Stegostoma tigrinum: one gene and its partners. The protein of the gene in region 2 purifies or fractionates together with the protein of the main gene of each other region. This does not show direct contact. Links are inferred from orthologs where the notes say so. Each region holds a gene or a part of one and is shown on either strand. Other genes may lie near its edges. The genes, in order: ech1, mapk6, neurl4 and eci2.

Region 1 (7,116 bases), on a different chromosome or scaffold from region 2:
CCTTTGGCCCTCGATGTTGTGCCGACCTGTCATACCGATCTCAAGCCCATCTAACCTACACTATTCCATGTACGTCCATATGCTTGTCCAATGACAACTTAAATGTACCTAAAGTTGGCGAATCTACTACTGTTGCAGGCAAAGCCTTCCATTCCCTTACTACTCTCTGAGAAAAGAAACTACATCTGACATTTGTCCTATATCTTTCACCCCTCAATTTAAAGCTACGCCCCCTCATGCTCGCTGTCACCACCCTATCCATCCTATCTAACCCTCTGATTATTTTATATGTTTCAATTAAGTCACCTCTCAACCTTCTTCTCTCTAATGAAAACAGCCTCAAGTCCCTCAGCCTTTCCTCATAAGACCTTCCCTCCATACCAGGCAACATCCTAGTAAATCTCCTCTGCACCCTTTCCAAAGCTTCCACATCCTTCTTATAATGTGGTGACCAGAACTGTACACAATACTCCAAGTGCGGCCGCACCAGAGTTTTGTACAGCTTCACCATAACCTCTTGGTTCCGGAACTCGATCCCTCTATTAATAAAAGCTAAAACACTGTATGCCTTCTTAACAGCCCTGTCAACCTGGGTGGCAACTTTCAAGGATCTGTGTACATGGACACCGAGATCTCTCTGCTCACCTACACTACTAAGAATCTTACCATTAGCCCAGTACTTTGCCTTCCGGTTACACCTACCAAAGTGCATCACCTCACACTTGTCTGCATTAAACTCCATTTGCCACCTCTCAGCCCAGCTCTGCAGCTTATCTATGTCTCTCTGCAACCTACAGCATCCTTCGTCACTGTCCACAACTCCACCTACCTTAGTGTCATCTGCAAATTTACTAACCCATCCTTCTCATCCAGGTCATTTATAAAAATGACAAACAGCAGTGGACCCAACACCGACCCTTGCAGTACACCACTAGTAACTGGTCTCCAGGATGAACATTTCCCATCAACTACCACCCTCTGTCTTCTTTCAGCAAGCCAATTTCCCATCCAAACTGCTATATCTCCCACAATTCCATTCCTCCGCATTTTGTACAATAGCCTATTGTGGGGAACCTTATCGACAGCCTTCCTGAAATCCATATACACCACATCAACCGGTTTACTCTCATCTACCTGTTTGGTCACCTTCTCAAAGAACTCAATAAGGTTTGTGAGGCACGACCTTCCCTTCACAAATCTGTGCTGACTATAAATATTTGACATTAAGCAAAAAAAAATTTATTTAAAGCCTATAGTTAAAATACAAACAAAATGAAGAACTTATAATAACGTAGCTCTATTGGATGACTTAACCAAATAACAGATGCGTAACTATTATTAACTCACTGTTCCGATATGTAACACCCCACAAACACAACCATTGGTGAAAGGGGAAATTCAGAAATATATTCTCACAATCCAGGAGGAAAGAAACATCAAGAGAAAATTCAAAGCAGCCAGGAGACATTTACTGAAGCTTCCAACTCAATTGAGACCCCAACAGTTTCTGATGCTATTGAGAAACCAAAACCCAGAAATCCTGATCTGAGAGAGCTGGCTGCATACGTTCAATGATAATGGGAACTGCAGATTCTGGAGAATCCATGATAATAAAACGTGAGGCTGGATGAACACAGCAGGCCCAGCAGCATCTCAGGAGCATAAAAGCTGACGTTTCGGGCCTAAACCCTTCATCAGAGAGCTGATGAAGGGTCTAGGCCCGAAACGTCAGCTTTTATGCTCCTGAGATGCTGCTGGGCCTGTTGTGTTCATCCAGCCTCACATTTTATTATCTTGCATACATTCAAGCTGTTTTTTAAAACAAAATCCAAGGTCTCCCAAGTTGTTTACTCAAGCAGCCTTCACTAACCACTTCAGAGCCTCTCATTCAATCTCTCTCTTAAAAGAAACCAGGACAAAATAACATCTTAAAGCCACAGCATCATCACACCTTCTTGAATCACTGTAGTCTATGTGTGGCGTAGGGACACTGATCGAAGCAACTTCTAGAATTTTGACTCACTGATGCTGAAGGAACAGCAACACATTTCCAAGTCTTACAGGTGACACTTCCAGGTGGTAAAGGATGTAGGTTTGGAAGGTGCAGTCATTGCAGTCTGGGAGAGTTGCTGCAGCGTATTCCGGAAGAAATGCACGCTGCTGCTACTAAGTGTCAGTACTGGAGGGATTTGGAACGTGGTGCCAGGCTCTGTCCTGGACGGTGTCGAGCTCCTTGAGTGTTGTTGAAGCTGCAGCCATCTAGGCAAGTGTGGGGTATTCCATTACTCATGGAATTTGACTCGACTTATGCCTTGTGGATGGTGGGTTCTGCTAATTATTGTCCAGGCCATGAATGCTGAGGGAGATTGAGATTCTCTTGTTACTAGGAAAGTTGCAGGTCAAGACTTTCAGCCTTAGCCAACTGCCAGGCTCTTCCAGGCAGCAGTAAACTTCCTCTCACACCCTCCCACAGTGTACTCTCCTTTTCTTTAAAAATCCCAGATCATTAACAAAAACCCCAATGTTTTTATCTGCCCCGCACTGTACAGTAGTTAACTGTCTCACGGTATGGAGTGCCCAGGTTCGACTCCGGCCTCGGGCGACAGCGGGCAGTTTGCACATGCCTGGGTGGTCAGCTCTTTGGAGGGTCGGTACAGACTCGGTGGGCCGAATGGCCTCCTTCCGCCCGATTGAACCCCCAAACCAGGGATAGTGCCCCACTCGCACGGACTTTATTTGGTTCCGAAGGCTTCCTGGCGCCTCCGCAAAACTAAAGTCCGCTTCACCCTGGGAGGCGCTGAACCGGCGGCTTAACCGCACACGAACCAGACGTGTCCCCCAGATACCGCCCTCCGGCCACAAAAGCCCCGGACTCACTCACAACCGCTCCGCAATCCCGCAAACAGCAGGCCAGCCATCAGCCCCCCGCAACAGCAATCTGCGACCGTGACATACAGCGCCGCCCACGGCCCGGCAGAGTCACTGCGGTACAGCGCCACCCACGGCCCGGCAGTCACTGCGGTACAGCGCCACCCACGGCCCGGCAGTCACTGCGGTACAGCGCCACCCACGGCCCGGCAGAGTCACTGCGGTACAGCGCCACCCACGGCCCGGCAGTCACTGCGGTACTGGGTACAGCGCCGCCCACGGCCCGGCAGAGTCACTGCGGTACAGGCTACAGCACCACCCACAGCATGGCATAGTCGCTGTTGTAGTACAGCATATAGCGCCACCGACAGCCCAGCATAGTCGCTGCACCATAAAACCACACAACATGTCCAATAGAAACGAGGTAGAGAAGAATAGAGGTAACGTGTATCCTCGAGCCTGAGGATGGTAATATTGACAGAAAATGGATAATTACAACTTAGGGTTGGGGGGAAGGGGTTAAAAAGTGATCATCAAAATTGATTGAAAGCTTGGAAGTAGAAATGAGATTCTGTTCCTCCATTTAGTTATGAGCTTCATTGGAACATACTGCAGCAATGACAGCAAGATGGTGTTGAAAAGGGCGAGCAATTGGAAGGGCAGGATCATTCTTAGATAAGGTGCACTGCTAAACAGTCACCAAGCCTGCATTTGGTTGCGCCAATGTAAAAGAGACCACATGTAAATAGGCAACAGTAGACTAGATTGAAATTTAAAGCACTGATTCAGCTGGAAGGTGTTTGGGCCTTGAACAATGAGATGGGAAGACGCAATTGCAAGAGGCAGTGTAGGGTCAGAAGGGAGAGAATGGAGATGAGGAAGTGTTAGAAGTGATGGCGGGGAAGAGAAAAATCCCTACAACGTGGACATAGGCCATTCAGCCCACCAAGTCCACGTAGACGCTACCCCTACCATCGCTGTGTAACCCTGCATTTCGCATAGCTAATCCACCTAGCCAGCAATGTCTGCAGTGTGCAGAAAAATTAACATGAAAAACCCATCTAACCTTCACATCTTTGCACCATGAGAGGAAACCCACTAAGAAACAGGGATGGTGTGTAAACTGCATACAGTTGCCCAACAGTGGAAGTGAACTTCTGGTACTGTGAGGCAGCAGTGCTTACAAGCCCAGCCTTGGACCTCAGACAGATGCAAATGAGTCGAGGAGAGTGACTTGACACAGTCAAGCTGACTGTGGGAGTTAGTAGGTTTGTAATGGATTTAAGGGCACAGCATATCCCCAGAAATGCAAACAGTAGTCAAGGAAGGGGCAAGGATGGACTAAATGAAGTTAAATATGGATACTGAAAACTAACATTTATTTTACCAATTCGGGACAAACTCAGGAAGCAGCAATAATGCAGTTATTGCCATACTAATGAAGAGTTGAGAAAATATGCCGAGTACACATGTTCTACATACCCTACGAGAGAGGCAGGTATAACTGGGACCCATAGCCACTCCATTCAATTGGAGACAGAGTTAAGGAAGAAATAGTTACTCAATGGGAGTATGTATTTTTCACTGCCCTGATTAAGTGAGGAGACTTGAAAATGAAAAATGGTATCAAAATAAAAGAATAATGCAACATTGAATGGAAGTAAAATCAAAGTGAGGAAAATTTTTTATTAAAATTCAAAGGCTGAAGTGTCAGGAAGACAGCTAGCTACAAAATCTTAAAAGTAAAAAAGTACAATGAGAAAAGTTATGCCACTGTTTGTGCACAGAAAGCAGCGGAGGCCAAAATACTGAGTGTTTAAGGAGGCAGATACAGTTCGCAGAGCTAAAGGGAATCAATGGCACGGGGGAAAGAAAAAGCAGAAACAAGGTATGGAGTTGGAAGATCAGCCAAGATTGTATTTATGTGTCAAAGCAATGCAAAAGTAGTGTGTGAAAGAAATGCAAGACTGAAAAAGCCCAAAATGTTTAACAAGTAGAACAATTAAGTAAAAGATTCAATGACCTAAAAGTGCCAGAGAAACAGGTAAATAACTGCACTGCAAGTGTCTTAAACTGAATAAACTTCTAGCCCTAGGCAGCACCTGATGTAATATGGTAGAGGCAGCTTTAATGTAAGATACAATGGAGTCCAAAAAAAAGGTCTTGGTAAAACAACAAGGCACTCATCAGATCAACCTAGAACATACAGTCAACAGCTTTAGGACCCTCATCCAAGAAAGCATATCGTGGCGTTGGAGGCAATCTAGGAGGTTCACAAGCTTGTTCTCAGGTACAGCAGGGATTATCTTATGAGGTGTTGTGGATTTCAGGCCTGCACTCATCGAAATATACAAGATTCCTAGGGGAGTTGACAGGGTAGATGTGGGAGAGTCTAGAACTAGAAGGCATACCATGGTAAGGGATTACCCAGTTAGGGCAAAAATGAGTATTTCATCTCAAAGGGTAGTAAACCTATGGAATTCTTCAGAGCAGAGAGGGGGGAGGCCAGGTCAATAAGTATATTTGAGGCAGAGGGATTTTTAAACCAGCAAGGGAAGTGTATTAGGGAAAATGGAGGAAAAGGATGGTCAAGGATTATCAGATCAGCCATGATCTTGTTGAACAGTGGAGCAGATTCAAATGAACTGAAATGGACTTCTGTTGTATCTTATGGTCTTCAAAACTCCACCCTCACCAGCCAGAAATCACAATACGGGAGCTAGCCTACAGCTACAACTCAAAGGGCTGTCCAAGTTCAGTATGTTCAAGGCTCATCTAATATTTAGATATGCAGGCAATCGAGAAAGATGGAAGGTGAAAGACAAAAAGGTAGAATTGAAGTTTAAAATCTGCTGTGATTGTACTGAAGGACAGATTCGCTCCCAAGGGACAAACGGTCCAACGCTGCTTCTATTCTGTGGAAGAGGAAAGTTAATATTTCAGGTCAATGGGACTTTTGGCAGAATGAGAAAATACTAGGAACATCTTTAAGTATAGAAGCAGAGAGTGTTGGTGTGAAGTAACAAAGGGAAGATCTGAGAGAAGGTGGAAGATGAAATTAAAGTGACAAAAGGAATGAATTGTTGCACATTAGACAAAATGTGGAGAGGGTGTGAGTGTGCAAACAGAACTATTAACACTATTAAAAGAACATTTTGAACTAGTTACACACACTGCAGAACTCACTTTAGTCCACATATTCGTTGGGTGATTACTTAAAAGCAAAGTGCTGTCCCTTGAATTTATGGATAACTTTCATTAGCACTTTCAGACTAAAGGACAGAGGTCAGAGAGAGAGATTGATAATTGAAACAGTATGCCTGGAAGCTCAGGGTTCTGCTTGTAAGCACAAATTCTATGCAAAATGATCACCTGATTTGAACCAAGTGGTACTACAGTGCAATGATTTCAGAATATCAAACTGAAAGTAAATACACAGTCAACTTGAATGAGGCCACAAAAAGGACAGGTGACATCACCTGTGTTTTCATGGGACAGTACCAAGAGTGGTTCCATAGAGAACTGAATCAAAATGCCATGCACAAAACTGACCTTTCAGGTTTTCAGGATGAGTGAAGTTAAGGCACTTAGGATTTAATTTAGTTAAACAATTACCTTGTGTTGTAACCATGCTGATTTTTTTTCCAAAATAAACCAAGTGGCCACAAGGTTGTGCCACAGTACCTAATTGGCCACCGAGAAGTCAGAGTAGAGTAATGTTGTTGGTCGACATTAAATGGCAGAGACCACGTCTGTTAATTTTTTTTTTGGGGCTGAAAAATTACATCCCCACTTGACCATTATGTGCAGCCTGACAAATCATTACTAGATGGTGACCAATAGTCACTGGGAGGTTTGCTTTTATTTAACCGAAAGTCACTGCCCGTTAACAAAAAGCAAGACTCCCAGTTAGACATACTGCTTGCCTGACTTGTCACCTTGGAGGTTTCATGGAGCCTCTCAAATCAAGGTGTTGCACTGACATAGTCAACATTATTTAAAATCATATCACACTGGTTCAGACAATCGAAGGTGGTGAATTTACCACTGGCTAAATAGTTGATCATTAAACTGCAAATACCAAATTGATCAATTGTAGACATGAATGCAACTTGGAGGGTGTGACATGGTTACCACTACTAAGACTTGGCTGTATGTGGATAAGGCTGTAAGATTAACAAGATGGGGAAGCATGGAGCAGCTTTAAGAAATAAAAATCACAACCATTGAGTGGAAATCTTCTTCCAT
Region 2 (6,889 bases):
CCTGGAGGAAACCTATGCAGACCCGGGGAGAACGTGCAAACTCCACACAGGCAGTTGCCCGAGGGTGGAAATGAACCCGGGTTTCCTGGTGCTGTGAAGCAGCAGTGCTAATACCCAGTTAGGATAGGAGAAACTTTGACTCTCAGAGAATGGTGAATCTGAGGAATTCTTTACTGCAGAGAGCTGTAGAGGCTAGATTGACAGGCAGCTTTTTAATCAGTAAGAGAATCAAGGAAAGTGGAGTTGAAGATTATTATATCAACCATGATCTCATTGAATGGGCTCAATGGGCTGAATAGACTATATCTCCTATATTTTATGGTCAAATGTCCTAAGTTGTAATGAATGCCTTCCGCAATACAAGACTTTGAAATATCTTGATTCAGTAGCGCTATTACTTAAACAAATGATTCAAACAGAATGTTGTATGTGAGAAGGTTCTCTACATAACTGAAGAGATGTATAGTTTGCAATATCCAGAGAGAGATCCTCCACCAACTATATAGACTGCCTGCACACTTCAGCCTCCATGTTAGGGAAACAAACCAGTCATGTGAACACAGAATGTGTGCTCTAGAATCTCACTGGTAATAGGATACTGCTAGTGTTAGCGCATCCAATCCCTTCCTTTGAATATTTCACTTTGATGTAGTTCAAACTGCTTTTGAACAAAACCCAATATCAAGCATTGTGAAACAAGCACTCATCCTATGTGAGATCCACGATAGTGTGAAAAATGACATCAAGAACAAAATAACTTGAAATAAAATAGGAGAAGGAGTCAACTAGATGGACCCTGAAGTCTGCTCCACTATTCAGTGTATTTGTGATTAATTTTGGATCTCCATTCAACTTTACAGCCATAAGATTCATCTCTTGATTTTCCTAGTGTTGGAGAATCTTTTTTTCTCAACCTTCAATATTGTCAGTGATTGAGCATTTACAACTCTTTACTTGTTGTCTCGATGCACCACACAGTGTGCTACCAGAGTGGGAAGAAAAATTGGTCACACCTTCTCACCCACAGATATACACCTTCTGTCAGCACCTCCTGGTGTGGAATTACCAATTATGTAGAGAACAAAACAGTTTACCTTGTGAAGTGTGGTGAACAGCAGGCAGGGTGGAGATGGATTTCTATCAAAGACAAACTGATGATGCAGCTTTTGATTCTCTTTATTTTCAGTAAGTCATCATCTTTAAAAGAATTGTTTTTTGTTTTAAAGATTGCTAATCTTCGATTCATAAGCCAAGAACATTGTACATCTGGGCAGCTGCTGTGGCCATGAAGTCAAAGAAATATTTGAACAGAAGAATAAAACCAGGACCATCCACATTCTGAAGACAAAACTAAATAAGATCAAAAGAATGAAGTGTGTTGGAAAACAATGTTTGAATTATTATTACAGTCCATTCTGTGCAAGACAAAGCTTCTAGACATAACTTTCATCTATTACCGGTTAACAATAGCTGTTCTCAACTTGAGCCAAATAATTGATGTTAGTACTAAACATGGTGAGGAACAGGGTACAGATTCATTGGAGTTGCATGCATTTCAGGAACAAATAAAGCTTCTGTCTACATGACTAGACCTGTACAGGGTTGACTGCTCCTCAAATGCACCTGTCAATTTGGATCAGATTATGTTATTTGGACCCTTTAGTTATGTGCCTCATTGTAGTTCACTCTTTTGTCTCAAAGAGGGATGGTGCTGACAGAAATCATTAGATCAAGTCATAGAGTCATACAGCATGGAAACAGACCCTTCACCCAACTAGGAGCAGCACAGTGGCTCAGTGGTTAGCACTGCTGATTCACAGTGCCAGCGACCCGGGTTTGATTCCACCTTTGGGTGACTGTCTATCTGGAGTTTGCACATTCTCCTTGTGCCTGTGTGGGTTTCCTCTAGGTACTTTGTTTCGTCCCACAGCCCAAAGATGTGCAGGCTAGGTGGATTGGCCATGCTAAATTGCCTGTAGTGTTCAGGGATGTGTAGATTAGGGGGATGGGTGTGGGTGGGATCCTCTGAGGGTTGGTGTTAACTTGCTGGGCCAAAGGCCCTGTTTTCACATGGTGGGGTTTCTATGATAGCCCATGCTGAACATAATCCCAAACTAAACTAGTCCCACCTGCCTGCTCCTGCATACACCTCCATTCCTTTCCTATTCATGCACTTATCCAAATGTCTTTCAAACATACTTGTACCCACATCCACCACATCCTCAGGGCATTCAGTCCACGCGCTAACTACCCTCTGCAGAAATAATTTGCCCCTCGTGATGTTTTTAAATCTCTCTCCTCTAACCTTAAAAATTTCACGTGCTCTAGTCTTGAAGTACCCTCAGGCAAGGTGATCTTTCCCAAATAAAATAAATGTACAAGGATAGCAGGCATTTACCGAGTTCAGTGATTTCTGAGCCATCAGAAAAACATTCTCCTCTAATGCCCCAAGTGGTGCTCATCTACTGAATGGCCTGAATTAGCAAGTTGTGCAATTCCTGCACTAAGGTACACACAGACAGAGATGAAGGTTGCCACCTTCTTGCTTTGCAATAACCTCTTAACACCATTCCTCATAAAATAGCACTGTTGGCCCATAGAATTCAGCATACACAGAAGCAGTGAAGGGTCTCGACCCGAAACATCAGCATTCCTGCTCCTCTGATGCCTGCTGTGTTCATCCAGCTCTAGACCATGTTATCTCAGGTTCTCCAGCATCTGCAGTTCCTACTATCTCTACACAGAAACAGGTCACTTGGCAAAACTGGTCTATGCGTCAACATGAGTCTGAGGAAAATATTTCCACAGAAGATCAATTGATGTCAAGTTAAGATAAACCCCTGTTACTGTCATACCTTACACGGACTCAAAGTGCGTGGGGATTGTCTCAGGGTTGGGTGCAGGAAGTAACAATCTATATATCTGCAAATTCCAAAAGCATAATCCTGCTGGCTACAACAATGTAATGATTACTCAGTGCACATCAAGCAGGCGCTGGAGTTCTCCATTATTGTTTCCGTGTATTCTGACACAGGCATATTTGGGATTGATTCTGAAACTGAAAGCCTTTATGCTGTCAAACTATCCAATTGCACGTTAGAAGATTTGTGAGAGCAAACTTGCATAGTCCACTGGCGCGTTTTGATGCTGTGTTGATGGGGGAGCATTTCAGTAGCTAAAATGTTGGGACAACATCCTCAATATATAGGGAATTGGGCAGTGCTTTGTAAACTTTTTATCTCATCATTTTTCTGGCACTCAGCACAGATTTATTCAACAGCATTCCTCCACTTTGTTTCTTTTGAATTTCCTCCTCACTTCTTTCTTGACAGCATTAACCTCAATATATTAGAAACACCATCAAGATGTTTGACTGTGGGCATCACAACGAAGCTCATAGCTGTCCTTCGCCCACATGCACACACAGTATTTACAGCTGAGCTTTCTGAATAGCAACATGGTTTAGGCACCATAGCTGCCCTTCCTGATCTTCTCCTCTGTGTTCATGAATCAGGCCAATGTTAATACTTTGGTTGGAATGAGCCAGCAGAGGAGCCCAGTACAAGCTTTTAATTGCACGATTGAGTCAGTGAACAACGGAAATGCTTCTCAATCTGAGCACAGTGCTCGTGGATTTTAGAGCTGCCATATTTCAGGGTGTTGAAAAAAATACAGTATAGAACTACTCCCAATATATTACCCTTTGCATCTCCATTCACTTATAACCTTTAATTATTAACTTGTGTTTCGCTAAAAGGTTCTTTAATATGCATTAACCTTTATAATTGTTCCAGTGGTGCATTTACACACTGACTTTAGACTCGCTTTCTTTGATAGGGGCTGATATTGTGAACTTGGTACAATCGCTCTGTAATTACCAAAGTGAAGCTCCCAGCAACTGGGGAATTTGTAATCACAGGCTACAGCATTTATGTGGCCTTCTGGTTCAACGGTGCAGAGTGTCGGTCTGCCTGGAGCTTTCACAGCAAAGTAAGTTGTTTTATGTCTTTTAATCATGAAATTTTGAATTGGACGTTCCTCTTCAGAATGATATCCGAAAGGCTTTTCATTGTTCATAAATGTTACGAACTACACATGTCATACATCCTGTGTTTCTTGTTGTCATTGTACTAAGGGTTCCATGAACTCCAACCCACATTAGGTTTCAAAGGCAACTCTCCAGTGAACTCAAAACTATTCTCTTACACTTTATGTGATGAAAGATAAATTGTGCATTTTTAGATATGGTCACTTCATCAAAAAGATTTTGGTTTCAAAGAAGGAGAGATAGTGTGTTGATCAGTATCATTTTCGCCACTGTTCATAGTCAGACCAGCACTAAGCTGGTATATATGTCCCTGTGAAGATCAGGTAACAAGGATGAAAATTACATTTCATGCTTGATTTTTTTATGTCAAGCTATCTTCCATAATTTACCTCACAGGATCACAGGGAACCTGAATATCTCAGTCCTTGTCTGTGTCCCTGGACTTACCTTCAGTGAATGCTTTTCATAATTTTAAACTAAAGAATGGTGCAGTTTTTTTTAGAAAGTAGGAAAAGGAAAGTCTTTTAGTTCTCTCTTCCTCATTATCTTTCTGTTTTTCTCCAAAAATATCTCTCTCTCTCCTGACTTCTCATTCAGATGCCCATAACTCAGTTGTGAACATAACAGCGAGGGCAGACGCACTAAAAAGCACAAACTTCATCACACTTAGCCTTATTCATGTCTAAGTTCCAACTCTGACTGCTTCCAGCAATATTCATTGGATACCAGTTAGGAATGGGAATCTTGGTTTACTAAGCCTGTTCTCTTTCCCAGACATCCCCTCCCCCACTGCATCCCAAAACCGGCCCAGCTCATCCCCACCTCCCTAACCTGTTCTTTCTCTCACCTATCCCCTCTTCCCACCTCAAGCCGCGCCTCCATTTCCCACCTACTAACTCCATCCCGCCTCCTTGACCTGTCCGTCCTCCCCGGACTGACCTATCCCCTCCCCACCTCCCCACCTATACTCTCCTCTCCACCTATCTTCTCCTCTATCCATCTTTGGTCCGCCTCCTCCTCTCTCCCTATTTATTTCAGAACCCTCTCCCCATCCCCCTCTCTGATGAAGGGTCTAGGCCTGAAATGTCAGCTTTTGTGCTCCCTAGATGCTGCTTGGCCTGCTGTGTTCATCCAGCTTCACACTTTGTTATCAGAGGAAGTGCACAGGCCCATGTAATGGGTTGCCAATGTGAAGGGAGAGCACAAAGAGGGTGATTTAATTGTTCTATCTCCAACAGTCATAGGTATTGAGACGAACAACTAATATTTTCAGTTCTTATTGCTTCCAAGGAAAGAACCTGCCCCCTCTCCTCCAATTCTAACTTGGTCAGTGTTCATGTCGGTTCCTGTGACCTCTGTAGAGATTTTCAAAAACAATTATTTATTTTACGATGAGCAAGATAGGTTCAATTTTACACAATGGCTAAAATATACAGCATTGGAGATTAATCTTTCTACTTCTTCCCATTGTTGTGAATGTTAGTCAATGCAAAATGAATATTGTGTGAATGCTTTACTTATGCTGTTTGTGTTGACATAGCACTTGCATTCAAGCAGAGACATGAAGACAACTGGTAGAAAGAAATGAATGCAAATGAAAAGGATAGCCACAGACACTTTTAATTGGGACATGTATATAACTTAATCCATCTCACCAAAATGGTGAAGCATATGGCTTGTGTAGACATATCATAACTTGAATATCAGCAACAGGAAAGGTGTTGAGTTTACATGGTGAATATTTCACTAAATTCAATGCTTTTTGGAGTCTGGAGCAACAGTCACCTTGTGCATAAGTGCAAAACATATTTTCAGATTAAGGAGATGTTTTTAGGCTCTCATCAATATGCTATTTCTTCCCATTTACTTCCTACAAATATAAATCTTTTAAGGTCTAACTTAAAGCACAGTTGGATGAGATGCCTGGTGTCCCAAGACTGACGCCTTTCCTTTTGTACAGTGAGGTACTTCAAATCTGTCTATTTGCTCCAATGAATTCCATTAAAATATTTATTTATGCCTACACAATGTCCCAGCAAAAATGTAAATCTACACATAACTTCAAGAATATTCAACATATGCAATTCATAATCGGACATTTGGATAATTTGTTTCGGGAGATCCGGAAACCCAGTTATTTACCAAAAGAATGGAGCCACATGATTTACTGTTTAGAACTAAGGTACTTTACTCTACACAAATCAAAGAACTTGAATATTAATAATTACTTTATCTCAAACAGTCAGTTATACTGAAAATATTAAAAGTACAATGAACACAGTCACCTGCACTCTGAACTAAAATTCTTAATATCTGTGCCATTTGACAATCACTCCAAAAGGCTCAAGTTGAATACTTATCATAAGTTGGAACAATAATCAGTTGGTCTGAGTACTATTTCAAAGTTTTATATAAGGGTTGTGATTTTTTGGGTCTTCTAATTACTTTGAGCAAAGTTGACCCTTCAAATTTCTTTCAATTGTTCCCATGGTTGTGGAGTCCAACCTTTTCTTCGCTAACATCTTAACCGGAGTCACTGATGATAGGAACTTTCCAGAAGCTAAAGTTCTTTAACTCTGAATCCATGCACCCGGGAACTCTCTCTCTCTCTCTCTCTCTCTCTCTCTCTCTTTCTCTCTCTCTCTCTTCTCAGCATGGTTATCACCTGAGATCCAACTCTCTGTTAATAGATTTCTTCTATTATCAAGGATTTTTAAACACTTTTAGCCAATGCACAGAATTTCAACTGAACTGTGTTTGAAAGAAATGTGCTCTGCAACTAACTTATTCTAGATTAAGTGGCCTGAGAGCAGATCCAAACCCAGGAAATTACTATGCTGC
Region 3 (7,004 bases), on a different chromosome or scaffold from region 2:
TCTTTCCATCAAGGTTGACACACTGAAAGAATCAAAAGGCAGAGTATTCATAGAATCCCTACAGTGTGGAAGTAGACCATTCAGCCCATCGGGTCCACACCAACCCTCCAAGAGCACCCAGACCCTCGTTCCTATCCCTACAGACCTGCATTTCCCATGGCTAATCCACTCAGCACATCCGTGGACACTGTGGGAAATTTAGCATTGTCAATACACTAAACCTGCACATCTTTGGACTGTGGGAGGAAACCGGAACACCCAGAGGAAACGCGTACTGAAAAGGGTAGAATGCACAAACTCAGTACAGACAGTCACCCAAGGGTGGAAGCAAACCCAGGTCCCTGCTGCTGTGAAGACAGCAGTACTAGTCAACGAGCCACCATGCCGTGCTGCTCAACAGAAAATAACTTTAGAACTCTGGATAGGTAGCTATATCTTGGTATTTTAGTCCAGAAGTCACAAGACTTTAGTATCTAGGTACAACATGTAACCGATAAAGCTAATGGAATGCTATGCTTTATTACCAGGGAAATTCAATATAAAAGTTTGAATGTTATGCTTCTGTTAAACAGGGCATAGGTGAGACCACATCTCAAATACTACATTCAGTTTTGGTCTCCTTATTTAAGGAAGGATTAAATGCATTGGAGACTGTTCAGTGGAGATTTACTCTTGAGAGCTGGACCAAGTTGTTTTACGAGGATTGGTTAGATGGGCCAGTCTTGCTTCCACTGGAGTTTAGCAGAGTGAGGAGTGACTTGATTGAAAGATATAAGATACTAAATGGTTTTGACAAAGAGAACATGGAAAAGATGTCTCCTCTTGTGATTAGGGGCCACTGTTTTAGGACTGTTTTACACTTAAAGAAAAGTAAGTTCATATTTGACAGTCAACATGACTTTGCCAATAGCAGGTCATGTCTGACAAATTTAATTGAGTTCCTTAACAAGGTGATCCAGGCAGCAGATGAAGGCAGTGCTGTGGATGTTGTATATTTGGACATTAGAAAGTATTCGATATGGTGCCACATGCCAGGATGGTTAGCAAATTAGAAATGTTTGGTATTGATGGAATCTTGCAGCATGGATTAGAATTTAGCTAAAAGGTAGGAGCAAGAGGGTAAAGTGGGCATATTGCAGATTGGAGACAAGTTGAAAGTGATGTATCTCAGGCATCAGTGTTGGGACCCTTGCCTTTTCTGATTTAAAAGAACAATTTGGAGATAGGTGTTGAGGGAAAAATCTCTAAATTTGCACATGATACTAACTGAGGTAGAATAGTGAATTAGAGGATGACATTGAGCGGCTTCGCAGAGATATTGGCAAGTTTTCCAAATATGCAATACCTGAATTTCAATGCAGAGTAATGCAAGATAGTGCACTTTGACAGAGGAGACAGGGTGAGACAGTATGGGCTCAAAGGTACAACTTTGAAGGGAATACAGGAGCAGCGGGACCTCGGGGTTCACATGTATAATTCTCTGAAGATGGCCAGACAAGTTGGAGCAGTTGTTACTAAGGCTTATAGGAGTCTTGACTTTATAAAAAGAAGTATAGCATAGAAAAGGAAGGAACTGATGCTACACCTCTACAAATCATTGATCAGACCAAATTAAGAGGACTGTGCTTAGTCCTGGCACTTTATTTAAGGAAGGACATTAAAGGTCTGGAAAGAGTGCAAAGGAGATTTGCTAGAATGATACCAGGAATTAGGAATTTTAGATACAAGATAAGATTAGAGAAATCTGGCTTATGCTACATGGAGCAGAGAAGATTAAGATATGACCTTATTGAAGTGTTAAAATTTATGAATAATTTTGACAGAATAAAGAAGCATATTCTGTTTCCACTGGTTGGTATGTCAGTAACAACAATTTCAAAATTGTCAGCAAGGTGGCTTGGAGTGAGATGAGGAGAAAATCTTTATTCAGTGTTGTTAGGATTTAGAATGAGCTGCCTGGAAGAGTGGTGGAGGTGGAGATGGAGAGCTCTGGAGAATGAAACTAGCTGGGTAGATCTCTCAGGGATGGATAGACCAACTAGTGGGGGACATAGGTGGAGCTAGAGAGTTATGAAGCTTGGCAAAGCAGGTGGAGCAACACGCAGAATGGGAGTGGATAGGAGGAACAGACAGAACAATGGCAAGGTCAACAGGCAGAGGGAGGGCACCGGCAAGGCAGAGGGGGAGGGCACCAGAAAAGAGTGAGAGTTATCCAGTTTATGCCTTAACTGACTTATGGGTAGCATAGGATTGAAGATTCCCTGGATTGATTAATAGGCTGTGGGCAAGGTCCTGCGAGGAATGATTGAGTGAGTTGCACCCACATTCTTTGCAGATGATCTCAACCTGATCCCTTGGATACTGAAATTATTCTACGTGTATAATTTGAACAGACAGATCCAATATATTTGAGTTTAGAAGAATGAGCAGAGATCTAATTAAAATGGATAAAATTCTTCGAGAAGGAAGAATGCTCCCCAGCCAGGGGAGAAACACAAAAACATGGAGAAAGAGTCTTTGAATAATTAGTCGTCATCTCCCAGATTGGCATAAAGGTCGATATGAGCCAAATGGCTTCCCCTGTGTTCCTTTGTCCAACGGTCTCGAGCACTTTTGTCCCAGAGGCCTGCAAAATTCTTGTGCACTCCCCTTCTGGAAAGCCCAGTTGGATCTGCTTAAGCTGCCCTTTCAGGCATCTACCAGATCATAACAATAACAACACAGCATTCTGATATAACAACAGCACATATCCCAGGGAGCCAGTGACAGCATGACACATGCAGATTTTTCTGTTGAGCATTTTGCCAGATTGTCCCGCCCTGATCTACCTGCCAGACATTGTGTGAGCACACTCACACTTCCTTCCCAGCACTTCTACCTTGTCGTTTCCGTGCTCTCTCCTTCATGATGTGCTGGTGAAGAGCTCGCGCCATCGCGCTCGACATCTTGGGTCGTTCCAGTAGGGCGGGCATCGTCTCTGTTTCAGAAGGATCCAGACACTAGAACCTAAAACAGGTGAGAAAAAGCCATAAATCAGCTTTGTGTGAGGTACAGAATCGCAAGAGTAAATCTGGAAAACCTACAGTCACCACACTGTTTCCCAAGACCACCCGGTGTAGCACAGCTAACTAGAACTCCTAAAAGTTCCCCTCTGAAACACTTGACTTGGACCTACAGTGCTGTTTCCTCACAGCAACTGGGTCACACTTCCCACTTTCCCTTAACAGCACTGTCCCTATACTTCAGGGACTGCAGCAGTTTAAGGTGGCGTCTCACCACCACGGCAAATAGGGATGACCAGTAAATGCTGGCTCGGCTAGTGAAGCCCACACTTTACACAGAACGTACCACAAACAAATAACTCCGGATCAACCAGTCAATACCATTCTGTTTCGCTTGAAACCCAGAATGAGCCACAGCCAGAGCCATACTGGATTAGACCCCAGGAGGACAAGAGGCCAGGCTTCCCACAGATTGCATTCTCTTTCAAAACACGCTGGCTACACATAGGGTGCTGTGCTCTCCCCAAATCTCCCTGTTCTTCCCGGATTCTCAAGAACTGTGCCCCATTCCCTCCACTCTCATCGGTATGTCCTCCCTTCTCCATTTCCCTCTCACTGTTCTACCCAACCACTTCCACAAACACCCCTCCCACCTACCCTTCTCCTCTCTCCACGGGTCTTTTCCTTGATCTCCCCCACATCCCGCAGCTCCAGGTCCCCATCACCCTCACCCTGTTCTTCCCCTCACCATTCCCTGTTTCCAGGCCCCGGGCCGCTTTCCTCCTTTTCTCTCTCTCTTCTCTCTCTTTTCACTCCACCAACGCCATCACACTCCGCCCGCCCACCGTCAGATCCGCCCCGCAGCCGTAAAGCGAGACGGACGCTGAGAAGCGGGCGACGGCCTTGGCGCGCGACGGGATCGTAAAGCGGAGCCGCCGGTTTCCAGCGCGGAGGGGCGGTCAAATCAAACGGCGCTGCCGTCGTAAAGCGGATTTCGATACAGCTGCCCCGCAGCCGTCAAGCGGGTTAGTCTCCCCGGCCCTGTTACTCCTTTAGGACCCGGTTGAGAAGGCTGTCGTGGAGCAGGAGCGGGCTGAGGAGGGGGCGGTAAGCCCCTCTCTCCGCTCTCGGAATGGCGGCCGAGTTCCACCTGAGGACCGGCAAGTTGGTGGCGTTGCTGAACGGCAACCGCACGGCCAAGCGTAACAAGCCGACCGAGGAGTTCAACCACGGGCTGGCGATGAGCCGAGAGCCGCTGGGGGACGGGCAGCTCTTCCAGGTCCGGATCGACAGGAAGGTGAGTCCAGGGGGAGATGTAGATGTTTGTAACTCCACCCCCACCCTCACCCCCACCCCCACCCTCACCCTCACCCCCACCCTCACCCCCACCCCCACCCCCACCCCCACCCCCACCCTCACCCTCACCCCCACCCCCACCCTCACCCCCACCCCCACCCTCACCCCCACCCCCACCCCCACCCCCACCCCCACCCTCACCCTCACCCTCACCCCCACCCTCACCCTCACCCCCACCCTCATACCCAGGGGTAAGCTCAGTAAGAAACACCGGTGATTGAGGCCTACACCAGAAGGTGCACGGGAAGGGGAATCTCAGCAGGTAAAAAGGGGGAACACACCCCCCCCCCCAGCTTTAACATCGCTATAGCAGGTTTTGTGATTTTATTTTCTTAAATCATATTTAATCATAATTGCGACACCCCCCCCAAAAAAAAACATCGTGGATATCGCTAGAGGATTAAATGTAATGAGTGGAACTTGGTCCAGCAGAAAAAAGCTGGAGCTTGTCCCAATTTGCAGCAGAGAGGACCCTAAGCACCCCCTCTTCCCCCCCCCCCCCCCGGGCTGGTATTTGTCTGTCGGCTCGACGTGGCTTGTCAAGTAGCCCCCTGCCGTCCCCAGTTTTAAAAATTCAAAATCCCTCTCTGGTCATTTTGTAAAGGTTCCTCCCCAGCATGCCCTTGGACACCATCTCGAGGGTTCCCCCCCAGCCCCCAAGTGAAGGCAGCCCAATGTGATGGACAGTGCCAACTCCTGGCAAGGGCCAGGTGCAGAGGCGCCAGGGAATGGAACATTGGTAGAAGGTCCCGGAAGGGCGCAAAAGACTGGGCAGTGCTAGTGTAGAGAAGGAAACCAAGGTGATGCTTTGGTTCACTGGCCTGGTGCCACAGCTTTGTCAGTGGGACTGCACCATCTGGTTTCGAGGGCCCTTGTGTGCTCCATGTGATGGTTTGCACCAGATGTCAGCCATCAAATACTCTCAGAACAGGTACAGCACAGGGTTAGTTACAGGGTACTTGACTGTGTCTCCACTAAGCCCTCCCAAGACAAGGGTGACGTATGATTAGATACAAAGTGTTGCCTCTATGTTCTTCCAATCCAACACTCCCAGGGGAGGAACAGCACATGATTTCTCTAGTCTTTCAGACTGAAAATAAATAGAAAGTAAAGCTTGCTCAACATTGACCCTAACAAACATGTCTAGGATGGGGGCATCACAGGGTTACATAATGAGTGAGGCTGTCTGTACACTGTCCACATCAAACATTCCCAGCACAGGGCTAGATACAGAATATACTTCTACACTTTTAAACTGAAAGTAAAGCCCCCTCAACAACGTCTGCTTAAAACACCACAAGAAGAGATAAAGCAGGCGTTTTGGTGCAGAGTAAAGATCACAGTGGTTCAGTGGTTAGCACTGCTGTCTTCACAGTGCCAGGGACCTGGGTTCACTTTCACCTTCAGGCAACCTTGTGTATAGAATTTGCACATTCTCCCCATGTCTGCTTGAGTTTCCTCCCACAAAAATGAGCAGATTACGTGGATTGGCCATGCTAAATTGGACATAATGTCCAGAGACGTGCAGGCTAGGTGGATTAGACATGGGAAATGCAGGGTTAAGGCAGGAGGGTGGGTCTAGATGGGATGGTCTTCAGAGGGCCGCTGTTGGTGTGACAGGCCAAATGGCCTGCTTCCATGCTGTAGGGATTCTATGGTAAACTGAAATCAGAGCATCCTCTACGGTTTTAAAACTGAAACTAACACTTCCTCTACACTTAAAACTGAAAGGCACCTCCATCTGTGTCAAACGCTCCCGGGGCAGGAACAACAGAGGGTTAAGTACAGAGTAAAGCCATCTCCACTCTTTGAACTAAAAGTAAACTTTAAGTAATGGTCCACTGATGCCATCCCCATCAAACACTCTGGAACTGTGGCAGCACAGGGTTAAATGCAGAATAAACTCCTTCATTTTCAGTTATGAGTGGTGTACCACAAGGATCTGTTCTGGGTCCCCTTCTGTTTTTGACTTTTGTAAATGAACTGGGTGTAGGAGTGGAAGAGTGAATTAGTAAGTTTGCAGACGACATGAAGGTGGGTCAAATTGTAGATAGAACAGCCCTCCGCACTATGTTACAAAGGCACATTGATAGGATGCAGAGCTGAGCTGAGAAGTGGCAGATGGAGTTTAGCCCTGAAAAGTGTGAAATGGTTTATTTTGGAAGGACAAACTTGAAAATGGAACACAGGGTTAACGGAAAGATTCTTGGCAGCGTGGAGGAGCAGAGGGATCGTGGGGTTCATGTCCACGGTTCCATGAAAGCTGCCACCCAAGTGGATAGAGTTGTTAAGAAGGCATATGGTGTGTTAGCTTTCATTAATAGGGATTGAGTTCAAGAGCAGTGAAGTTATGCTCCAGTTATACAAAAACCTGGTTTGGCCACGTCTAGAATATTGTGTCCATTTCTGGTCACCTCATTACAGGAAAGATGTGGAAGCGTTGGAAAAGGTGCAGAGGAGATTTGCCAGGATGTTGCCTGGAATGGAGGGAAGGTCTTATGAGGAAAGGTTGAGAGAGCTAGGGCCTTTCTGTTTTTAGAACAACGAAGGATGAGAGGTGACTTGATAGAGGTGTACAAAATGATGAGAGGTATAGATAGTGTGGACAGCCTGAAACATTTTCCTCGGGTGGAGGTAGCTATTATG
Region 4 (7,080 bases), on a different chromosome or scaffold from region 2:
TCACTTACTTTCATGGGGCATTTAAAATAATACAAAAATTAAAACCTAACTTAATGTGATAAAGCATCATCATCTCCTAGATGTAGGAATTTGCTGATGCCTGGAAAAGCAGATGATCACGTAAAATTATTCAAACTATATATTATATCTTGTTCTTGAATGAACAATGCCACTACAGACCCATCTGAAAAATATACAATTCTTCTTAAAATTAAAGAAAAGGATATTATTCCTGAACAGCCACAATCGCATAACCACAGGATAGTCTTTTTAAAGTGATACAGTAGACTACCACGTGAGGATGGGATGGCTACTGCTATTTCCTGAAAGTCATGAGGTGAACCACTGGATTTTCAAGACTCAGCAGTTGACATCTTATCCTCTGCCAGTAGCTCACAATTTCTGATTTATTCAATTCAATTTCTCAAAACTTGCTGGGAATAGAATTTCAATTCATCACTTCCAGGTCACTGTCCTGTGTCATAGCCACCATACCCTAACATATGCATAGTTCCTTGGAAAAGAAATTTGTCATTTACATTTGGAAAAATGTTACTATTTTGTGCAAGATTCAAAACAGACTAAAATGGAAATGGAAACAACTATAATTGGCATAAGCCTAGCACTCAAGATTTACAGAACAAATAAATACTGTATGGGAATACAAACAAAATTTCAAGTCCTTATCAGTACTAAGCATTGCTTCATCATGATGGGAAATTGCAGTGAAATCTCTCCTCCATTACTTGCTTTTTGGGTTGCATAATTATCAAGCTGTGGAAGACGTGTGGATAATTATGATTACAAGTTTAAGGTGGTCTTTTTTTTGGTATTACTAATGTAATTGAGTACAACCAATGTTACAGCCCAGTGAATTTAGACTATAGTCATCACACTGGAGAAAAACAAAAGTACAACTTCATTACAAGATTAACAATTTTGCGAAACTCAACAGAAGGATGGCACTCAAATTGCATTTATATTGAGAGCAAAACAATGCATCTGAACTGAACCCAAATATCACCACCTGCACGTACCTTTCAGTTGCACAACGATGGAATCAATTATGAAATGATTTCCAAAGAACTTGATGCAACCCAACAAGAAAAATTTTTGCACTATACTGCACTGATTACTGCTGAAACTGACTAACAAAGCCATCCAAACTCTACAATTGATTGAGTACATAAAAATCAGAGGATTCGAAATCAGATTAATTCAATATATCCTGGCAATATATTAACTGAAAAATGACACATGAATACACAAAATATTGTGAATAAACTATTTTAATTGTATGTTAACAAAAGCTCTTTGGAACCCAAGCAAAAATCCAACAAATGTGTCTTGGAGGCAGCAGGGGGATTTTAAAAAAAAAATCTGAATTTTAATGATGCACATCTCAAACAGTATTAATAACCCTGGTGGACTTAACGGTTCAACTTTACAGAGATAACATTGGCAACGTTGAATTCTGCATTTGGTAATTTTGTCTCTTCAGCCAGTATTTACCCAGGACTTTTGTTCATTATCAATGTATTTGCCACTAAAATGAATGAATTACTACCAGTGCCAGATTATTAGTGTGTTTACCAAAAAACAAACAAACAATTTGATCCAATTACAGTTAGAAGTTATTCTGCAACTTATCAGTATAGTCACTGACCATTTTGAAGGGATACACCAAAAAACTGTAAAACATTTTAACATTGCAAGAACTCCAAAGATAAAAGGTAATTGACTAAGATTGGTCCAATAAAAAGAGCTTTTTGCAACATTTCTGGAACAATCAAAATGAACTTCTGATAAACATATATCGGCCATTTGAAAACTATTCACATTGGAAGCTCATACTTAAGTTTGACAAAAAAAATGCAAGAAAGTAATCCATTGTTCCTTCTGTTCTTGAAACTTGTGAAAGTTAGAAGAAAAAGTCATTATTAAACTAAAATGCTCCCAACCTTAAAAAAAGGTTATTGTATTGCATACTTACAATTTCAAAAATAATTTCCTTAACAGTTCAAAATCCAAACAATTAAGTTTTGAACACAGAAGTGTGAAGCATCAAAATTGGCCAATAATCACAACTTTTCTTGCGAGAGAAACAAAAATCAGATCACTGCCAGTGAAGTAGTTATGTCAAGTCATGAATTGATTATTCAATCAATCCAAGCTCTTGCTCCATTTACTTCTGTCATTCTTTATGTAAAAAATATCAGTTAGGTACAGTAAAATAACCACCTATGCAGGTGTTTCCAAACTATCCTCATAGTAATGAAGTTTATTTGCTAGAGTGTTTGAAATTCTAGCTTTCAGTCATACTGAAGCTCCCCTCCAAACCTCAGCCAACTGTCATCAAAACACAGACTGGAACATCAGACAACGTTTCAACTGCCAAAATTACTATACAATACACTACATCCACCAAAGCTTTCAATATCTTACAGATCCTACTCACAATGAGGATAAATATAGTTTTTTTTTGAAAAAAAAAGACTCCTTCCCCCCTCCAAATGCACCCTCAAATGCATATAAAGCTCAGTTGTTATCCTGGCTTGAGCTTATTGCTATTTTTCCTAGGCTCACTGACAAATAAAAATCTGATCAAGGACTACTTGTCAAACATCTGAAGATCTAGAGAGCTTCTAAAATGTAGGGGCTGAACTCTTTCCTCACAAGAACTTATCACTCTAAATAATTTTCAAACTTAGGTCTTGACCTGCACATTACTTGATTGGCAAGTTCTCTCATACCATAGAGAAATATGCAAACAGGGAAGGGAGAGAAAAAAGTAGACATGGAAGTCTGAAAGATACAAACCCCCCCCAAAAAAGACGAGATGAACCTGGACTGATCTACGTTGTAAACTAGACAAGGACAGCCATCTCAACAAGTGTAGCTTGTACAATACATTACTCATTGAACTCTTAAGCCCCAAAAACACCCACTTGAACTATATTACAGAAAAAAACCCGAAGAAAGACCTTGCTCCTAGTTTATGGAACGTTGATGGAATCTGTAAAGACAACCAATCACCCATAAGAGATAAAACAAATTGCAATCAACAAATACCTACTTCATCCAATGTAAGCCTGGAGTGGTTGAGAAGTACATAAAGTCACCGTTTAAATAAAAAAAAAAGCCTCTACCCTTCAAACGGAAAAAAGGTGAAGCCCGAGTTTTGGGATCCTTGTCTTCGTTTACAGTGCGTTGCGACATAGCTGAGGACGGCACTAGTTGTGAGAGCATAAGCCAGCAGTAAATAGTTAGAACCCGTCTCTCTTACACTTAGCCACATAGTCTAGTGCCTTATACATAACACGGCTGGGGAGGCCAATCACCAACACTGTGTAGACCAAAAGTCAAGTCTCCCTTCAAAAGGTGATTTCAAACAACTCTGTCTTCAACCCACTTCCACCCCTACCTACCTCCCTCCCTCCCCTCCTCAACCATTTCTCCCTCCTTCCCTCCTCCACGTCCGGACGCGTGCGCACCCACATACCGGGTATACTCACTCCAGCAAAAGCTGGGGACTCGGATCGCCATATCACTCCGGGTTCAAAGGAGGAAGCGGCAGAGAAGAAGTGGGGATGTTAGGAAAAGGTTGAAAGGGGTTAAAGAGGTTGATGAGTAAGTAAGAGTCGGAAACCCCTTAAATCACACCTATTTTTTCCCCCTCTCCCCATACCTCATATAGTTCCTCCGATGCCATAATCGTACTGCCAAATAGCTCGAATCAAGTAAGAAAGAATCACTTTCCAACCCCCTGTGGTCTGGATGCCTGGCCTCCTTTTAACTCCGGGAGGGAGGAGAGAGAAGGGGGAGAACTGCCAGTGCGCAACTCGCTCTGCGCAGCAGGGAGCTCGCGCTGGTCCATGAGGGAGAGCGGAAGTTGTACTTTCTTTCCTCCCTCTCTGTCGCGCACTCCCTCGCGAGCGTGCTCGTACTCGTCGTGCTTGGGGGTGTGCGAGCGGGCGAGCTAGCGAAACGGTTAAAGAGCGAGCTCTATGAAAGATCTGTCATTAGAAAAAGATCAACCTAATTTGCTACATGGGGACTCAGGCGGGGCGTTGTGACGTCAGAGAGCTCCGTCCGGACCTGGGCCGCCACCGCTTTGGAGCCGGCGCGTGCCCCGAGAGCTCTTTGACGTTGGCGACTTGGCGGGCGCGAGCGCGCGGCGACAAGCGGCAGCGAGAGGGCGGGTTTTGGATGATCCGTCAAGTTCGGCTGAACGGAAAGGGGGCGTAGCGAGGGCAAAAGTCCAAGTGGTCGGACAACGCATGTTTGACACTACGGCCCAGTGTTGGGGGAACTGTTTTGGATGGCTGCTGCATTCTTCACCTTGCCGGCTCGGTGGCAGTTGACGAAGACGCTCAGGTGAGGTTGTTCGTCCGATGCGAGCTGGGCACCGGTCCAGTTTTTACGCCGCTGCTCAGCTTTGACTACTGTCAACATAACGTCTAGCTCTTCTGAAATCAACAGTTTGAGTTGACTAGACAAGTTGAATTATTGCAGTGACTCGGGCCTCAGTTTCATATTGTCTCAAGTTGAAGCTTTTTCAATATCATTTGAGGTTGATGCAAAAATCTTCAAACTGGCCTGTCAACAGTTGAGTGATCCTTAATCAAAAGCCACGATCCCTGTGTTCGCAGAATTGATCTTTACATTGTTCATTTTCGAATGCACAGGTCTATAGTCCAATTCTACAACTGAATGCAGCAAAAAGTGAAGGACGTTATTTAGCCAACGTTTGGCTAAGTGTGGTCTTAGGCTCTGAACAGAGATCTTTACCCTCCACATACATTGAAGAATGTGTTGAGATTACAGGGTAATTAACTCTCAATCTGGCATCGTAACACTTTTAAATTGTTTCCTAGCTATGGATGATACTTGAAGACATGCATCAGTCCACTGTTCCTCGTTTGTCTTGTAGAATTTCTCTCTGAAGTTGGCCACATAATGTGACAGTCCAAAGTTCAGTAGAATTCTAGAAAATTGTGCAAATTATTACTCCTCGTGATCATGCTTTCTTCCTATAATGTCATTACCCCTGCAACCCAAACTCTGTCATCAAATCATGACTTTAAATATTGCCGGTTTCACTCCCTCCCCCTCCCCCCCCCCCCCCCCACCGACACACACACACACACACACACACACACACACACACACACACACACAGTTCTTGCAGATGCTGTGTGCTGTGGGTCTAGCCTGGCTTTGGAATGTGAAAAATTTCTAATGCACATAGAATTTTTAAATTACTAAAGAGTTGAAACCAAGAAACTTAATATCCTCTTCAAAGCCAAGTGCTTCACTTTTCTTCAACATTTAATGCAAAAGTTCAAATTCTGAAAAGAATTATTTTGCTCTCCTGTAACCAATTCTGGCCAGTCTTTATAAACCAAAAAGGTACTGACTGTACAGTCATGTCACATCATTTTACAGAGCAGAAAGTCAAGTTAACCCATCAAATCTGTTTTGCTGTTTTTCTTCATATCTATTAACTTTTAGTATTCCTCTATATAAGCAACTAACTAACTTTCTTTTCAAAGAATGTGCACACTCTACAGAAAAACTTATGAGAGGTCATTCACATTCTAGCATCTGTGTAAAAGAATTTTTTTCTCATTGTCTGTCTGAATAATTTTTAAGATCTCATTTATTACTATTCACAACCATCTTGCCAAGAAGAAACAATCTTGTCCCTGTAGTACTGGGCTGAAGCAACTCGTCATACTCCAGAAACATTTGGATGTTAACCAAAGAGGGTTCTATTTGATGGGTCAAGTGGCCTTGGAAATAAACAAAGAACCCTCAGGATGATATAGATGAGAGCACAGTGTACATTTCTTGACTGTAATCGGTATAATATTCTGTGCTGTTGAAGTTGTGAAGTGCAGTCATTTGCAACTTTCAAAGATTTGTCTGTGTACTGGAATAATACCTTTACTGAAGATGATACAGAGCCAAATTGTTAATCATTAAGCTGCTTTTAGAAAAATACATTTATGGTGGTTAAGGTGCTGTCCTGATTCAGCATCATTATTGGAGTAGCATTGTCACAAAGACTGCAGGACTTAAGTGAAGACCTGTCACCACTACAGGACAACCTAAGGATGGCAATTATGACACCTTGCAAATATAATCCATTACCAGAGAACTTAAAAACTGTAGGATTCGTAGATTGAGAGCTAATTACCATGTTAAAATTGTGACTTGGCCTGTTATTTCAAAATCTAAATTATTCTGTCAGCAAGGAAAATATTGGTACCACCTTACATCACATATCCCTGATGTGTAGCTGTATTCCCTTAATTACATATCTTTGTATGGCTTGCTAATATGTCCTTTTTAAATTTTGAGTTCTCTACCACAGAGGGTGAGGCAGCTCAGTCTTTGAGTAAAATAGATTTAAGATAGATTTCAATGTATTTCTAATTACCGATGGCATACAGGGTTTTGGGGATGCTGGTAGTAAAGACATTACAATCATTTCTGATTAATAACACGAATGAATGGTGAGCAGGCTTGATGTAATGAATGGCCTGCACCTGTTCCTAATTTCTAAGGACTAGAATTGCAAGATGTGATGCCAACACCAGTATTTGGATTCAGGTCGGATTTCAGTTTTATTCAATAATTTCAAGACTTTATTGAATAAAAATGTATATTATTACCAAAACCAGAAGCAGACAATGTCACTCTTGTCCAACTACTCCAAAGGCCACAACATAAAATAAAAACTTGTGCTGTTGTCTCAATTTTGTTAGCTTTCTTCATATCTGCTTTTAACTTTACTTCAAACTTCTCAGCCAATTAGCCTAATCTTGATTTTTCTTTGCCAGTCATTTGATGCAAACTTTCCCCACCTAGAAAGGTCTTGGCAACTTCAAGTTATTTTTATAGATATGCACAAGAAACCTGGTGTATTTCCTTTTATCCTGTTATTGTAATTGAAGTATTGTATTAATAATGTCTTTGTTGGGTATCCAGCTGCAAACTGCCACTTGAGTGTTATGAACAAGGCTAGAGGAGAGCACACTTCTTCCAGTACCCCATTGGCTACAACAATACTTC

What was found.
Region 1: the proteins of mapk6 (region 2) and ech1 purify together in Homo sapiens (affinity purification with mass spectrometry; 3 studies listed by BioGRID and IntAct, with this or other methods). This does not show direct contact. The link is inferred for Stegostoma tigrinum from reciprocal best matches to the Homo sapiens genes MAPK6 and ECH1.
Region 3: the proteins of mapk6 (region 2) and neurl4 purify together in Homo sapiens (affinity purification with mass spectrometry; 6 studies listed by BioGRID and IntAct, counting the BioPlex papers as one, with this or other methods). This does not show direct contact. The link is inferred for Stegostoma tigrinum from reciprocal best matches to the Homo sapiens genes MAPK6 and NEURL4.
Region 4: the proteins of mapk6 (region 2) and eci2 purify together in Homo sapiens (affinity purification with mass spectrometry; 3 studies listed by BioGRID and IntAct, with this or other methods). This does not show direct contact. The link is inferred for Stegostoma tigrinum from reciprocal best matches to the Homo sapiens genes MAPK6 and ECI2.

Annotation. Positions count from the first base shown.
Region 1 is NC_081392.1:7,501,287-7,508,402, forward strand, and holds the start of ech1 (delta(3,5)-Delta(2,4)-dienoyl-CoA isomerase, mitochondrial), read right to left. Parts: upstream 3,005-7,116; 5' UTR 2,919-3,004; coding exon 2,882-2,918; exon of another isoform or gene 2,878-2,881; intron 2,852-2,877; exon of another isoform or gene 2,049-2,851; coding exon of another isoform or gene 2,024-2,048; intron 1-2,023. UniProt on the Homo sapiens protein: Isomerization of 3-trans,5-cis-dienoyl-CoA to 2-trans,4-trans-dienoyl-CoA.
Region 2 is NC_081386.1:20,395,726-20,402,614, reverse strand, and holds the start of mapk6 (mitogen-activated protein kinase 6), read left to right. Parts: upstream 1-3,868; 5' UTR 3,869-3,990; intron 3,991-6,889. UniProt on the Homo sapiens protein: Atypical MAPK protein. Phosphorylates microtubule-associated protein 2 (MAP2) and MAPKAPK5.
Region 3 is NC_081398.1:13,795,755-13,802,758, forward strand, and holds the start of neurl4 (neuralized-like protein 4), read left to right. Parts: upstream 1-3,992; 5' UTR 3,993-4,134; coding exon 4,135-4,299; intron 4,300-7,004. Other genes in the region: gps2 (G protein pathway suppressor 2), read right to left, coding at 2,879-2,972. UniProt on the Homo sapiens protein: Promotes CCP110 ubiquitination and proteasome-dependent degradation. By counteracting accumulation of CP110, maintains normal centriolar homeostasis and preventing formation of ectopic microtubular organizing centers.
Region 4 is NC_081355.1:11,868,814-11,875,893, forward strand, and holds the start of eci2 (enoyl-CoA delta isomerase 2, mitochondrial), read left to right. Parts: upstream 1-4,080; 5' UTR 4,081-4,321; coding exon 4,322-4,377; intron 4,378-7,080. Other genes in the region: cdyl (chromodomain Y-like protein), read right to left, coding at 3,689-3,712. UniProt on the Homo sapiens protein: Able to isomerize both 3-cis and 3-trans double bonds into the 2-trans form in a range of enoyl-CoA species. Has a preference for 3-trans substrates.